2 linked regions of the Arabidopsis thaliana genome follow. The protein of the gene in region 1 interacts with the protein of each later gene in a pairwise test. Each region holds a gene or a part of one and is shown on either strand. Other genes may lie near its edges.

Evidence for each region. Proteins that work in one complex are often made in the same cells at the same time.
Region 2: the proteins of AT5G01380 (region 1) and AT1G24040 interact in a two-hybrid assay, tested with the Arabidopsis thaliana proteins (one large-scale study listed by BioGRID).

What each region holds. Positions count from the first base shown.
Region 1 is NC_003076.8:152,992-160,073, forward strand, and holds AT5G01380 (Homeodomain-like superfamily protein), read right to left. Parts: upstream 4,611-7,082; 5' UTR 4,461-4,610; coding exon 4,125-4,460; intron 3,429-4,124; coding exon 2,793-3,428; 3' UTR 2,619-2,792; downstream 1-2,618. Other genes in the region: ACI1 (ALC-interacting protein 1), read left to right, coding at 1-532, 970-1,304. UniProt on the Arabidopsis thaliana protein: Probable transcription factor that binds specifically to the core DNA sequence 5'-GTTAC-3'.
Region 2 is NC_003070.9:8,501,822-8,510,354, forward strand, and holds AT1G24040 (Acyl-CoA N-acyltransferases (NAT) superfamily protein), read right to left. Parts: upstream 4,975-8,533; 5' UTR 4,933-4,974; coding exon 3,973-4,932; 3' UTR 3,967-3,972; exon of another isoform or gene 3,871-3,966; 3' UTR 3,792-3,870; intron 3,640-3,791; exon of another isoform or gene 3,375-3,639; coding exon of another isoform or gene 3,135-3,374; intron 3,051-3,134; coding exon of another isoform or gene 2,910-3,050; intron 2,757-2,909; coding exon of another isoform or gene 2,607-2,756; intron 2,518-2,606; coding exon of another isoform or gene 2,354-2,517; intron 2,286-2,353; coding exon of another isoform or gene 2,087-2,285; 3' UTR 1,969-2,086; downstream 1-1,968. Other genes in the region: AT1G24030 (Protein kinase superfamily protein), read left to right, coding at 1,573-1,681, 1,781-1,968, 2,087-2,285, 2,354-2,517, 2,607-2,711, 2,910-3,032, 3,135-3,374; AT1G24050 (RNA-processing, Lsm domain-containing protein), read left to right, coding at 5,236-5,389, 5,496-5,661, 5,757-5,837, 6,322-6,445, 6,577-6,618; AT1G24060 (uncharacterized protein), read right to left, coding at 7,915-8,235. UniProt on the Arabidopsis thaliana protein: Protein acetyltransferase with dual specificity triggering both N-alpha-acetylation (NTA), with a large spectrum of modified N-termini, including methionine, alanine, serine and to a lower extent threonine and valine as substrates, and epsilon-lysine acetylation (KA).

The DNA of each region.
Region 1 (7,082 bases):
CGGAGAGTCAAAGCTTCCGTTTCTTTCCGTGAGATAGTCCCAACCTCGGCGAGATGGAGCTCTAATAACCAACAAAAGAAACATGATTTCCTGCTGTTGTATCTTGACAAGCTTGACGAGAAGAGAGAACTTGTCGGATCATCGTCTTTTTCGAGGTCTAAAAGGTTCGAGAAGGTTGTGGAAGATTCCAAGAAGCCGCCATTGCCACCTTCGGCGCCGAAGAAGAAGGAGAACGAGAAAGTTGCTAAGAAGTTTAAAGATGAGCCGAGGAAAGTTGCGAAGAAGAAGAAGAGTGAGAATCGAAATGACGTTAACGGAGCCAAGAAAGTTCGTTGGTTTCTTTCTCCATCTAAGAGTAAGTCGTCGTCGGAGAAGACTGCGCTTCTAGGAGAATCAAAGAATATTCGGGCTGATGAGTTTATCGGAAAAGAGAGTGAGTCGCCGGAGAATAAGTCTAACGCGAGTCCGGTTTCGGTTCTTGATCGAGATCTTTATGATTATCTAATCCTTGACGATGATTACTACTTCTCAGGTGAGTCTACGAAATAATATTCAAACATTTTTATCTCTCGAACAAATATTTGAACTTAATTAATTGCTTTTTGAACCTTCTTTGAAATTTTGCGAAAAGAATCATCTCATGTGAGTAGTTTCCTACTTTAACTGCAAATGAGGTAAAAATTTGGTCATTTGGTCAACATTTTAACCGATTCAGTACACTTTATTTGAAATACTAAATAATAAGATTATTCAAAATTTGACCAATATAAGAATTTTCCTTAAACGTTGGATTTATTTGAAAAATGATTAAATTTAACCAATATAAGAACATTTTCGCTTTTAACATTTTTCTTGATTTTACTGTAAAAAAAGCTGCGAAAATGAGACTTTCTCAACATTTTCGAGAAATTTTATTTTTATTTGCCCAATCATATTTTAAACGTCACTTTAATTTGAAAAATAAAACAGGAGGAGATTCAGAAAGTGCATCGGAGTTGTCAACAAAGCAAGTAGAGACAGCAACAAAATCTTCATGTTCTTCATCACCAGCAAAAACAAAAACAAGTACCAAGAAAGAAAACAACAATAGCACCAACAATGATTCAGAAGAGACAGAGTTTATCACAAAACTAATGAATATGCTCTCAGATCTGTCTGAAGAAGACATGAAGTCTTCCACTTGGGTTTCTACTTCGTCAACTAAACCCGTTGACTTTACTCAGGTCGAAGATTTTTGTGTCGAATTTGGTCAAGAGATTCTTGACCTTGTTATGGACCAGCTAGTTGATGAACTCTGTATCTAGTTTAAATTCCCAATTATCAGAAATATGTCGTTTTAAAATCTTGTAATCCAAATGTTAACCAGAGACTCACAACAATCGAAATTTTCATCACTCCATATTTTCTAAAAGTGTTATGCGGCCAATATAAGTTATTGACCAGAAAAATTATGGTTAACATTTATGATTAGTACTAAAGACTATAATGTACTCGTCTTAAATAGTCCTATAGACAAATATACCTATCCAAAACACAAGTATGTATATGGCGAATATCACCAAATAAGCACAAGGATAATCTTAGTGACTCGAATACTCGATCATAAGAATGAAATTAAATTCAAATTCGATATGACGAATTATCAAATGCATTATAAATACATGTAGTGGGTCCAAAAACGGTCAAATCGGTTTTCTTCTGAATTTTGGAGAGCTCCGTAACTTCGAAATACGTACTGTCTCCTTTATGTCTATTTCACATGCAAATCATGGTCTCCTTCTAACGTTACTTCTTTGACGTTTTTTTGTACTTTTCTGTGTTTTTTTTGGGGGGTTCACATGTAAAATTCAAGAACATTTTCCCACTCTAAATTATTTAAGTTTCGAATTATAATTATTTCATTTAGTCATAAACTATTTTTTTGCCAACGAAAAAGTGGTAAATATTGAAGGTCCTTGTATTCGAACTGGTGACCTCACAGAGTTGGTCACACGGCTCTATACAATTGAGCTGACGCGGCGTATTAGTAATACGTGTTTTTTAAAATGAACGGATATATTAGTGTGAACGCGTTATAACACGGTTTCATGTTTTCGGTATTTTTATCTGTTGGTAGCTGTCTTGCAAGAGAAGAAAAGAATAAAAATAACAAATTCTTTCTTTACAATTTACTTATGAACAAAATAAGTTTTATATATCACACAAATAACGCGGTGAAGTAATGTGGGACAAATGTGAATTGAAAGTTTTGGAATAAAGACTTTTGTTTAATTCTTGTTTATCGCCTGATTAATCGTTATGAAATATTCTTATTAACAGAATAAAGTAGCTAAAAGTATTCAACCAATTTGGTTTTGGACACCTATAACTATGAACAATATAATTCAAACTAGCATATCTAATTAATATCTATACAATTGTTTTATGCATGTACGTAAACTATTAAATGATTTATTAATTCTTATTCTTATCGTTTAGTTAATTCACATGTTACCTTATATTATATTTAGTAATTGCCTGCTCGTTTTACTCCCTCTCTATTTATTTTTCTTCCTCTAATATTGAAGGTTTATTTTTCTCCACCAGGATTTTTTTTGTTTTTAGAAGGATAAATTCATTTTCATACCACGATAACATATATCAAAATTTGAACATTTATCTTTCTTTTTGGAAATTTCAATAGTTCATATAAATATTATAAAACAAACATTAATTTAGATATATTATCTAAATTGATTTGCCTAACAAATTAACTAGCTAATTAACTTATGCTTAACACAAATAATGAGAACTTAGAAACCTTGATTATGATGATCATCATTATGATCTCTATTAAGCCTATTAAGCAAAGCATCGATGAGAGAATCTCTCTTCTGAGCCCTAGCTTCTTCTCTCAACCGTCTCTCTTCCTCTCTCTCCATCCACCTCCTTTCTGTGGCGGCTCTTTCCTCCTCTAGCTCCGCCATTCTCCTCCGCCACTCTTTCTCTCTCTTCTCCCTCTCTATCTCCTTCATCTCCCATGCATCTCTCCATTCCTTTTCCATCTTCACCGTTTGCCTCATAAACTCCTCCAATATATCTTTTAGTGTATTACCCGCAGTTTCAGCTTTCGTACCACTCGCAACGCCTTTTCCTTTTTTTGCACGTTTTCTTGGATTGGTCGAAGTACTAGTAGTAATCACTTCTGTCTCTCTTTTCTGTGTCTCTACTAAAGACAATAATTCCTCGTTGATATCTTGATTTGGTTCGTCAACTTCTTCTTCTTCATCATCAGATGAAAATTGATGATGTTTTCTCTTCGAGGAAGTGCTTGGTTCTGTGGCTTCTGACCACAGCATTCTTTGCATTCTTGCTTCAAAAATCGACTGAATCTCATTGTAGAATGGGAACTGCTGCCTAATAGCATCTGGCTCAGTGGTCTCACACGCCTGTCCCATGAATATTCATTATGTTATATAAACAATTATATGTAAACACGTAATAGTACCGACGCAAAATATTTTAGCTAACCAAGTATCTTAACTCGAAATCATATATCATAGGAAAACAAAAACACATGTTCATCATCTATATCACGTTTCTTTTACCTTAAATAAATGTGTGTATAGACTTTTTCAACTATCTTCATGTGTTCATCAGTAACGGTTCTTATTAAATCTTATGCACCCGTTATATAACGGTAATTATATTTTTATGGCATATTGTGTTACTTACTTACCATGTGATCAACGAACAAAAAGAGAGATATTATGGTATAACGGATCAAAATGTGAACATAGACAATATCATGATGAAAGCTCACCAATAAACGCGTAAAATTCTATTCTATAGCTCGTTACCATTAATGACAGGACAATATCTAAAAAACCTAGGCGATTAGGTTAAGCTCATTAATTGATGTATATATAATGTAGTTCACCTATACATACACCATAAACTAGGTTTCCATTTCAATATGCATAATATCAGTCTAACCACACAAACTAGTGATGAAATACATGATACACATAATTATAGTTTGTATATACTTGTAATCATGATCATACTAAACATTTATAGGTGTATATATCGGGACTATATATAGAGAGAATCATCAATAGGATTCTAAAGAGTTGAAGGGTAACCTTGTATCTAGTGACGAGGTTCTTCCACTTGCTCTTACATTGTTCTGCGCTTCGGACAAAACCCTTGTCGGCCATCTTAGCAGCCACGACTTCCCAAAGAAGCTTATTACGTTTGGTCTCCATGAAAGTTTGATCAAGTTCTTCTCTTATAGCCAAAAGCTCCTTTGTCTCCTCTATGCTCCACTGTGGGATTCTCTCCCCACCTCCTCCTCCTCCGCCGGGATCCATCGTCGCCGTGGTGCTCAGCGGCGGCGGAGGAAGCTGTTGCTGTTGGATCAAGTGATGATGAAGCTGATGGTGGTGGTGGTGATGTTGGAAAGGGTTACGTCGGTCCATTATTTGGAATCGAATTGTCTTTGTGACGTGAAGAGAAGAAATAAGAGGGAGATAATTTTATTTTTTTGTTGGGTTACTTATAAATGAAGAGAGGTTTCATTGAAAAAAAGAAGAGAAGACAGAGAGGAAGGAGAGAAAAGAGAAGAATCTAATTAATTTATAAGGATGTGTGAAAAGAAGGTGTGAAATCGTAGAGGGACGATAGAAGTGTAGTTTTTTGTTCTTTTCTCTAATTAAAATTATTAAGATGAGATTTTTTAATAATTATTGAATATACTAGAACTTATAGAATTATTTAGTTGAATAAAATACGAACACGAATGACTCTTTTGGTGAAAAGGACACAATTCGTGATTACATTAAAAATAATAAAGCTTAGATATCCCTTTTTCGGATGATAAACTCTAGATTTAAAGCAGCTAACTAAATAATTCATACTTTTTTTTTCTTCGTATTCTAGAGTTTAAAAATAGCAATCTCAAACAATTACAGGGGTAACTTGCATCAGTTAAGAATATCTTAAGTAAAAACAATCGCCTTAATCTTAGAGTAAAATCAAACAATATGTTTTTTTTTGACAGATTGATTATTTGTGTGCATCATTCTAAACACGCTTTCAAATTTGTAAAGTTGTAGAACTATATTTTTACTGTATGGTTATTGTTTTTCCTTGATGATGATTTTGTGACCAAGCTCAAGTACTCAACTGTCTCGTATTTTTTGCATTTGGTAGTTATTCGTTAATAATTTGTCCCAATACATATAAATGTTGCGTTAATATTTCGTCACGCTTACGAGTTACGAGTCACAATCCGATTTTTATTCTTCAATCCGATTTAGCCTTTATGGTCAATTGACCCACTAGATTTTCCTCATCCCATAATTCTTGTATTTTTCTTTTGAAAAATTCATCGTAACAAAAGTAACCTAATGGTTGACAGACAAAATATATTAAATAAGCTATTGGATCAATATGCTTTTAGAAGTTTAGATTAGCCCCGTGTCATGGAGGAAGAGATCAGATATAAACAAAGAATTAGAGAATTGTTGTTAGCAAGTTTTACATAATAGATACCTAACGTTCCTATCAAAATAAAAAAGAAGAAGAATTAAGTTACAGAAAACAAGACTACCGTTATGATTAGCTAAGAAATTAATTTGATTGGAATTGTAAATTCCCCCAAGAAAAAAAGAAGACTATTCATTTATGGATTGTATGATATTTAGTATATGAATAAATGGAAATCGTTATATTCGCAGTCGGCACAAAACAAATAATGCGTACGAACAGAGAAAATGTACTCTTGTTCTGAAATGGTTTGGATCCAGTGCAATATACAACTGTCAGATTCCCAAACACACATATGGTAGTACATATTTAGAAGCCGCGTCATTGCAATGATATAACAAGTAAAACGTACGGTGAATGAAACTTGTAGGAGTAAATATTTTTTATTTGTATCTAAAGAAAGATTCGTCGGGGTTGTATTTTTGGCTCTGATATGTGTAAGAAATACTAGTACTACTCAGTAGTAAAAAAAAAAACAAAAAAAAGTCAGCGAAGTGGTCCAAATAGCGATGAAGCGTGTTGAAAGTAAATCAAAATCTTACATGACATGCACTAGACTTCGCTCCCACCTGTCATCCCACGTGGATTCACACCTTATTTATTTATACTAAATTAATAATAATGTCGACTACTCTAGTGAATGATCTTTAATTTTTCTAATTCTTATGTTCAAAATTTGTGGTCTTTAATTATTTAAAAGAGAAATTGTGAATGAAGGAATTTTCTGTGAACAAAAGAAAGAATAATCAGTATTTTTTAATTTTATTTAAATGGAATCAAATAATCAGCAACGCGGAGTGTTGTTATATTCCACGTGTAAACGCCCACCATGTTTGTCCACGTGGCCATCTCTCTCTCTGTCTTTCACTTTTTATTTTAACAAAGATTTTTGTTGGCTGATGTTTATCCGCTCAATACAAGTAGGCCACCTCATCATCCTTTTTATTTCCCATCCAAATTTTTGCTTAAAAGAATTGAAGTCTTAAAGCAAAGAACAAAAAAAAAACGTCAGCCAAAAGCATATATACAAAAATCAGCCTATTCGTGTTATTTAGAACTTTTGAGGTGAATGTTGTTTAGGGTATCGCTCCGGATTATTCGGAAATAGTAATAAGTTTAGTCTTTTACTTTTGCCGTAACTTGGTGAATGCACATGACTTCCATTTTTGAATTTGGAGTCACTGCAACAATACATTGTTGTTACAAATACCAAAAACCTTTCTCACTGTTTGTAATACTGCTGGTTTTGAACCAAGACCATGAAAATGATATTTCAGTTGATTGCAGAAACTCTTCTTGTTCTTGAAAACATTCAAATATTTGACTAAACTAAACTCGATCTGTGTTTATTTTTTTGAATCTATAAATCATACTAACTTTATGAATGAATATTACTAATTCGTACATGTGGAGATATGCAAGTAATTTGCCTAACCAGAACAATCAAAGAGGAACATACATTAGTCTGTTTTTTCTTCTTCTTATTATTTGACAAGTAACAACAATTATTCCATGTCAACATCAGCACGTGAGGGTTGAAAAGATTTTAGTGA
Region 2 (8,533 bases), on another chromosome or scaffold:
AGTCTATCGGCCAAAAAAAAAAAAAAAAAAAATCTAGATATTTTTCATATATTCATACACGTTATTTTTATGGCTACACTCATCTACATATATATTTTTCTTATTATGGATTTAAATTTTTAGGAAACAAAATTATTTCAACTTTTCATGATTATATCTACCCTTTTTAACACTTGATTAATTGGTTTCTCTTCTTTCAAGGTTTTTAGATCAAAGTTTCAATTGTTTGATTTATTTGAAAAACTATTTATCATAGAGAGTGTTTATGGCCTAGAGATAAACTAATCCCTTGTTCGTATTTCTTCAGATCGATTTTGTGAGATTACCATTTTTTCAGATCACTTACTTGGTTCTTTGTTGAACAATGGTAATGTCACACAATCGATCTGAAGAACCAAGTAAGTGAAGTAGCATATTTTACATAATTGGTTCTCATTTACGACCTCTCATAATAACTGTGGGCCAATATGTGAAACATGATGAGATTTAAATGGTTATAAATAATGTATTATCATTGATCAAAAATAAATCAGTAAACGTTCACGTCACACAATTAGTCAAACATAACAACTTAATAATTGCAAATTGCATTTCATAAGAATAAAACTTTCTAATCATAAAGAGCTGAATGTTTCCTCTTTATTTTCTACAATAATCTTCTTGGTGGCACTGGCATGGTTAGGTGCAATGCAATAAAGCCAAAACAATTTCTTCATCGTTAGGTACTTTGATTTCACCATTGTGCGAGAAAACAGCATGTTGGTTTCCATTGATATAAAACGACAACCACTCTTCAATCGTAAAATAAAAATGTTCTAAGAATGAGTCATCATTTCTATTCGAAGCAAAAGTTCATCCGAACCCAAATCCTTAATATACAATTGGATACGTTAAAGTTACAGTATCCTAGGATTTGTCAATCTTATTAAAAAAAACTAAGATTGCTTTAAGAAAATTATAGGTTTTCTCCACTTATAAAGTTTAACTTTTATAATCTCTCTCTCAACGAACTATGAAAACAACATTAGTAAATAGTAATATAGAAGTCTAGAGAAAAAAGTTGAGACGAAAAGGGTAAGGAAACACTCTGAAAGCAGCTTCCCATCTCTATTTGATCGACAGAGATACGTACGTACACAAACTGGTTAGAAGGAGATAGATTCAGACAAGAGAACCAAACCGAGAATTTGAGCTTAGAAAAGTTAAGGAAACATCAAGTCTTTACTTTCTCAAGATGGCTCTCAATTTCTTTTGCTTCACGTACATGTAATCTACGTATTCTTCAGCTCTACCGTCTCTTTCTCTCTCTCTTGAACTTTCGGTAGTTGAAATACTGCTGTTGAGTATTTCAGAAACCTAACCCTCAAAATCAATTAACTTTATTGCACTCTATATTTATCATCTTCAACCACAACAATCTTCTGTTTCTTTGGAAGCAACTAACTACAAAGAACATCTTCACGACTAGAAAGACACATACCCTTCTGTCTTAAGGACGAGACCAGAAGCTTCTTCTATCGGCTTTGTAATGGTCTACAAAGGATAAGAAAAAACCAAATCCAAACTAAAGCTATGCATTTTCCACTTGTTTCGGCTTGGAACAAGAGAAGGAGAAGCAAATCATATGATACGGATCCATGTACGTTCCTTTTCTCCATCATCTTCGCCAGATGGCATAAAAGTATGTTACTGTTTTTGTTTTTCGACATTACTACTACTGAATATAAAGGGTTTAGGTAAAACTGAATCACCATCTGTTTGAAACTAACCTTCTTCTCAGGGGTCTACAGAACAGCAGAATGCTGGCAAATCGAAGATCAGGCTTCTCAGCCAAGGAAGCGAAGATTCGGGTCATCAGTTTATACCCTCAAGGAGATGGAGGAGGCCACAAGTTCTTTCAGTGATGAGAATCTCCTCGGTAAAGGAGGCTTTGGCCGAGTTTACCAAGGCACTTTAAAAACAGGAGAGGTAGGAACTATATAGCTTCATTTATGTGATTTACAGGCTTTGTAATGTTACAAAAACTTTTCTATCGAAGAGGAGCTATTAGAGTAGGATACATATCTTAATCCCTTGTTATTTGAAGGTTGTTGCAATCAAGAAGATGGATTTACCTACGTTTAAAAAGGCTGACGGAGAAAGAGAATTTCGTGTGGAGGTGGATATCTTGAGCAGACTCGACCACCCAAATCTGGTCTCTTTGATCGGCTATTGTGCAGATGGGAAACACCGGTTCCTAGTATATGAATATATGCAAAATGGAAACCTGCAAGATCATTTGAATGGTAAGTCAACAAAATAAGAGCCCAATCCACTAAAACCAATTGGCGACTAAACCGCGTCTTTATCACAGGAATCAAAGAAGCAAAAATAAGCTGGCCAATAAGGCTCAGAATTGCACTAGGAGCAGCAAAAGGACTCGCGTATCTCCATTCAAGTTCTTCTGTTGGGATTCCAATTGTTCACAGAGACTTCAAATCCACCAACGTTCTACTAGACTCCAATTATAATGCAAAGGTTCTTATACAGTTAATAGAAATGGAGGGTTTATGCAGCACTAATACCAAGCATAGACTAAAACTAAGATGTGAGTGTAATCCTTGCAGATATCCGACTTTGGACTAGCAAAGTTGATGCCAGAAGGAAAGGATACTTGTGTCACAGCAAGAGTTCTAGGAACATTCGGCTATTTCGACCCAGAATATACATCGGTAAAGATTCTTACTTATATTTCACACATGATTCTCTTCCGATAGGGTAAACTAGACACTACTTAAGAAAAATTAAAACTTGCTAGTAATGACATAAAATAGCCTGGAAAAGGAACTTTAATCACACTCACATATCAGAGCCAATAGGCAACGGAGGACAATTTTTAGCATAATTTTTGTTCCCTTCTTCTGTGGCAGACAGGTAAACTTACTCTACAAAGCGACATTTATGCATTTGGGGTTGTGCTGCTAGAACTACTTACTGGACGCAGAGCAGTTGACTTAACTCAGGGCCCAAATGAACAGAACCTGGTGCTACAGGTAAAATGGACCTTTTAGGTTCTATGATTCACAAACACAAAAAGTTCAAAGATCAGGAAACTTAACATAGGAATAAACTGATCAATTATCTCTACGTTTCAGGTTAGGAATATACTGAATGATAGAAAGAAATTGCGTAAGGTTATAGATGTCGAGCTGCCTCGGAATTCATACAGCATGGAAGCTATAACCATGTTTGCTGATCTAGCATCACGGTGCATCCGTATAGAGAGTAAAGAGCGACCTTCAGTGATGGATTGTGTTAAGGAACTGCAACTAATTATCTACACAAACTCGAAGGGTGGTTTGGGTGGGACGATTCCTACATTCAGAAGGCTCTAGACACTGAATTCTTCGAAACAAGTAAAATGGATTACTGTCATTTTTCCTAAAATGAGAGGTCACTGATAAAAAAACACTTGATAAATATAAACAAACAATACTAATTATGAATTACCGGATAATTTCAATTCAACTTCCAGCTAGGAAACTTTGATCAAGCGATATTATTTGGATATATATACTATAATTTCACTAAGAAAATCAAGCACTAGATGTATCCGTATAGTATGTTGTATTTGCTGCTATGAATGTTTTGCTTTAAGAGAAATGAGTACATAAATTCAGGGGTGTAGTCTTGTTTTTTCTTTCCTTCTTTCGCCTAATGCCTAAAGAATTAACCACATGTCTATGAACAAGAAATACAATCGCTGCCAATACAGGAAGCAGATAACAAAGATAAGAGTGTGTGTGGAGTACCTCTACTAAGATCATATAAACAATAGGTCGAAGCAAACGGGATTATCAACCCGACCCTTGGTCATGTCACATTTAGCTCCTACATAATAAAGCCAATCACAATGTTTGTTATAAATTCAGAAAAGGTTGAGAAGAAGACTAAAAGCTAATTGGTACACTGATGGAAAAACTGTACCCATGTTTACACATTTGCAGAGGAGGTCAGCTCATTATCAGACCCCACCATTTCTACTATAGGATTGGTGCATAGTGGAAGAAGTTTCTTCCGCATCAAATGCTTACGCCGCTGTAACATCAGAAGGACCAAAACTGTATCTGTCTTAACAACCTCGTATCCTGCCTTCTTGTACATATTGAAAGGAGCCTCATCAACCATCCTACAATGCAAGTATACATCTTTTGATGGACTAATCTGAGATATCAGTTCCTCACTCGCCTTCAACAAATGCCACCCAATTCCTCTCCTTCTAAGATCCTCTTTGACAGTCATGTTACAGATATAAGGTGATTCCTTAGGAGGAGTTGGAGAAGGAGGAGAAGCATTAGCGCCTCGTTTCTCCAAACAAACCTCAACAGTTCCAGCCATCACAGCCTCCTCCTCTCCATCATCACTAAACTCATCAACTTTTTTCCTAAAGAAACCAACTAAAGTAACTGCGTGTGGCAACACTTCTCTTCTCTCAATCAAATACTGCTTAATCAAAAACCGTAACACAGACTGATAACCAGAAGGTAATAACATCGATTCACCAAATGACTCAGCCAATAGATGCACCGTTGAATCCATCTCTTCATGTCTCATAACTCGAACCCACATCGATCCAGATTCAAGCTCTTGAAAATACGCAAATCCTTCAAGAGTTTTAAGCTTCTCTAACTCATCGTTACTCAAAAACCTCCCGGTACGAAACGATTCCTCTAGAAACGCGTAATTCCCGGTCGATTTAGAGTTTTCTTCTCCAGTTTCTGTAGCTGTCGAAACTGAAGAAGGAGGGAAAGCGAATCTGAGATTGGAGCGGTGAGATTTACACGAGTAGAGTAATGGATATCTATGTGAAGAAGACGAGAAGCCAAACTTCGTTGATTGGGTTGGTTTGAGAGAATCAACAGAGAAAGCTAGTGAGATGCTTAAAGCCGCCATTGACACACACACACACGATTTTCTCCGATTTGATTGTGGTTCAGTGTTCGCTAATCTGTTTATAACGAAATAAAATGGATAAAGTAACAGTCATACACTAATCTTTAAAACGCCGCGTTTTGAACTAATCATGAAGCTCAGTAGTTATTGGGCCCTTATGGCCCATATACTGATATAAAAATGAGGAAACTGTTATAAGCCAGTAGCTATTTGGGCTTAAGGCCCATATTGCGATATATATAGTTTTAATTTTTCCGAAGTTCGGCGATTTCAGAAGACGGAGGAGGAGCGAGGACGGCCGCCATGGATCCAGCAGGAGCATCGGTGGCCAGCGCAATCGGAGGAGAAGGAGAGAAATTCGCGGTGGGGAATATTTATTCAGTGAAGGTGATCACCGGAGATGAGTTCAGAGGGATCGTCATGGCTTACGACCCCATCCCCAACTTCGTCTTTTTTGATATCCTTAATTTCTTTAATTGTTTGTTTCATCAAAATTTGAGATTTAGGTATTTTCAATGTCTTGACCTGAATTGTGTTATCCTTGACGAGTTATTGGTTATTACAAGAGGGTACAAAACCTAGACCTGGGCATTTGAAGAACACTCGGATGGTGAATGCGAGTTTTATTACAGGGCTTTCGTATTTAGGCAAAACTGAAGATCCACTTGATTCAGACAACTTTTCTGTTGATCTTAATGGTCTCCGAGCTAAAGAGGCACTTGCTATCAGGTGATAAGATATTTTGTTGTTGAATCCTTTCAAAATGCAATTTTTATTGCTATTTGCTTGTTTTGAGCTTACTTGGGAAAACGTATTGAGCACAGGCAAGCGGAAGCAGATGCTGAAAGAATGGGAGTTGGTGTTACCGCTGAGGCTCAGAGCATCTTCGACGCGTTGTCTAAGACGTAAGGATCTTCTCTTTTTATACGTTTTCGGATCGAAAAATAAGCTAATCTCTAAGAAGGAAACACAGCTTAGAGTATACGGTAGAGAGGTGGGACGAGATCGTAATCTAATGTTGTTTAGTTGAACTATTAGTTCTTTGTAAACAATTGCTTGGGTTGGAGGATTTTGTTTTGTGCGTCTAATGTGTTATTCCCAAAGATAAATTGTTAGGATCTGGACATGATTTAGTGTTGTTTTGCTCTTGGTTTCCGGTGATGCTAGTTTGCAACTATATATATGTAAAGTTTCTATGTTTGTGGTTGTTGTAGATTACATATGTTGTGGGCTCTAGTGTCAAGTATCTTTAGTCTTCTTTGTGATACTGATACAGTTAAGAAGCTGTCTAGATACATAGTTTTAGACTACATAAATCCTTAAACTTTCTTTGTTTGAATTTGCTTTTTCTCTTTCGAATGAATCACATGTGAATTATTTTCCTTTTAGGCTTCCTGTGCAATGGGAAAACTCAGACATTCTGGTGATGAAAGAGGTACGCGTTCGTAGCCCGTATCTTTCAGATTGTGTCTTTGGAGGAACTGATGCTGCCAACAACCGAGTCAAGAAAGTGGTAAGCGTCACTTTCAGTTCATTGTGTAATGCCAATTAAGCCTCTGGTGTTATATTAGTCATTTGCATTCAATCGTGTAACGTTGATCAAGCCTTGGGTGTGATAGTAATGCAATTTTGCTTTTATCGCAGCTTGAGCTGGAAAGACGAAGGTTGCAACTCTTTGGCACATGAGGCTAGTGAAAAGAGTCGGTCAGTGAAATAGCGAGAAAGGGTTCGTTGCTACTAACCCGAAAGGCGTCTATAGATCTGATCGACCAGCGAAAAGCGGATATGTTTGCTTTTCGCATGTTGTTGTCTTTACTTAGAATCTGCTTGTCCTTGTAAAAGCAGATTAGAGATTTCTTGAGTTACAGCCTTACAGGGATTGAAATTTGGACTAATTTCACCCTGGTTATTGACAAGAACAGTGAGGTCTTGTCTTGTCCACTTTTTACCAGGGCTTGGTTTATTTATCGCCTGGAACTGTAAACTATTCTGAAATGTTGAACTACTTTTTAGTGACTTCTCCGGTAGATTTTTACATCTCGTGTGCTCTAGAACTGAGTTCCTTGATCAATGCAAAAGTTATAAGAAATATTTTTCTGTTGATTGTTAGTATTGAACTGTGTATAGATTCCAATGATGATCATAATAGACCGTGGTGATGTATAAAACCATCTTATTCGATACACAACATATACAACTATGGACACAACTACTTTGCGTTTGGGTGATCAAGCGTGAGCTAACTTGTTGATTAGAAACCAACATTGATGCTACATGCGAATGAAATTTTACGTTACGACTAAGCTAACTCTGGATAAGCGCTTGCATGAGGAGATGGAGATATAACAATGATCACTCAGGTTGCTTGATATCATTTGAATCAAAGCTTTAAGAATGTTGTAAATTGAATCCAAAAACTAGTAAGACAATGTGTTAATTCAACATTGGAACTTATAAGTATCATAGATCGACGCGAGAGTTCTGCTTCTAACAGATACTTATCACCAAAACCTTAACCTATCTTTAGTGCAAAACACCACTAAACTATGAGCCACAAAAATTATTAAGAAGGCAACAAAAACCCTACTAAGAAGCCAAAGGAAACAATCCACACACTTGCTTCTAATCTTCTACTTGTTGAGTATTTCGCTGAGATTGAGTTGCTTTCTTTAGCAATCCACTACTAACACAAGCCTGAAAACACAACCATTTACCAGCAAGAAGACACCACCACAGCAACAGTGTAACATTACTGAACTCAAGATGAAAAGAGACTAACCTGAAGAGCTCTCTTACCACATGAACGAGAATTGTGCCCTGCTTGACCACATTTATTACAATGTATTGTGCGCTTGCTAAGTTTCCCCTTTTTCTTAGGTGGAGACACATTCTTTCCTTTCCTCTTTCGCTTCTTCGATGGAGACTCACAACAAGTACTTATCAAAACAAGAATGACCAAAATGGTATTTTCTTTGGATTAGTTTATAATTTGAGCACTTTATATACCTTAAGCTTCTTCACATAATCCGGATCATAATCTGGATCATCACAGTACTTAGCACGTTTTCTTTTGTTATTATCAGACGTTATCGTGATCATCCATGGATCATCACACGTTGCACGTGTTCTTTTGTTATTTTCAGACGTAATCTTGATCATCGATGGATCATCACACTTAGCACGTTTTCGTTTGTTATTATCAGATGGCGCAGTATGTTGCTCAGCCTCGGGAGGGATGGTTAGCTTAGTCCCAGCTGAAAGGTAGACGCTGAAACCAAGAAGAAGATTCGGGTGTTTTTTCATGAGTCCCTACACCTTTGAAATGAGACTAGCTTCATCAACTCTACAAAGAGACTAGTAACTTCAGAGTTAATTCATAATGTGATGTTTTGTTGTTTAGCAGAATTGCGAGTTGAAGTTTAGCAGAATTCTAAAGGTAAGGAGAGATTCATGGTTAGGAGGAAGACTTTGATAATAATGCCAGGGAGAGATTCAATTTTTTTGTGTGTTTGCAACTTAAAATCTAGATCTTCCAAGTTATTTTATGTTTTAAATTTTTGATAACTTAAGTGGATGATTAACTTTGGTGTGAATTAAAACA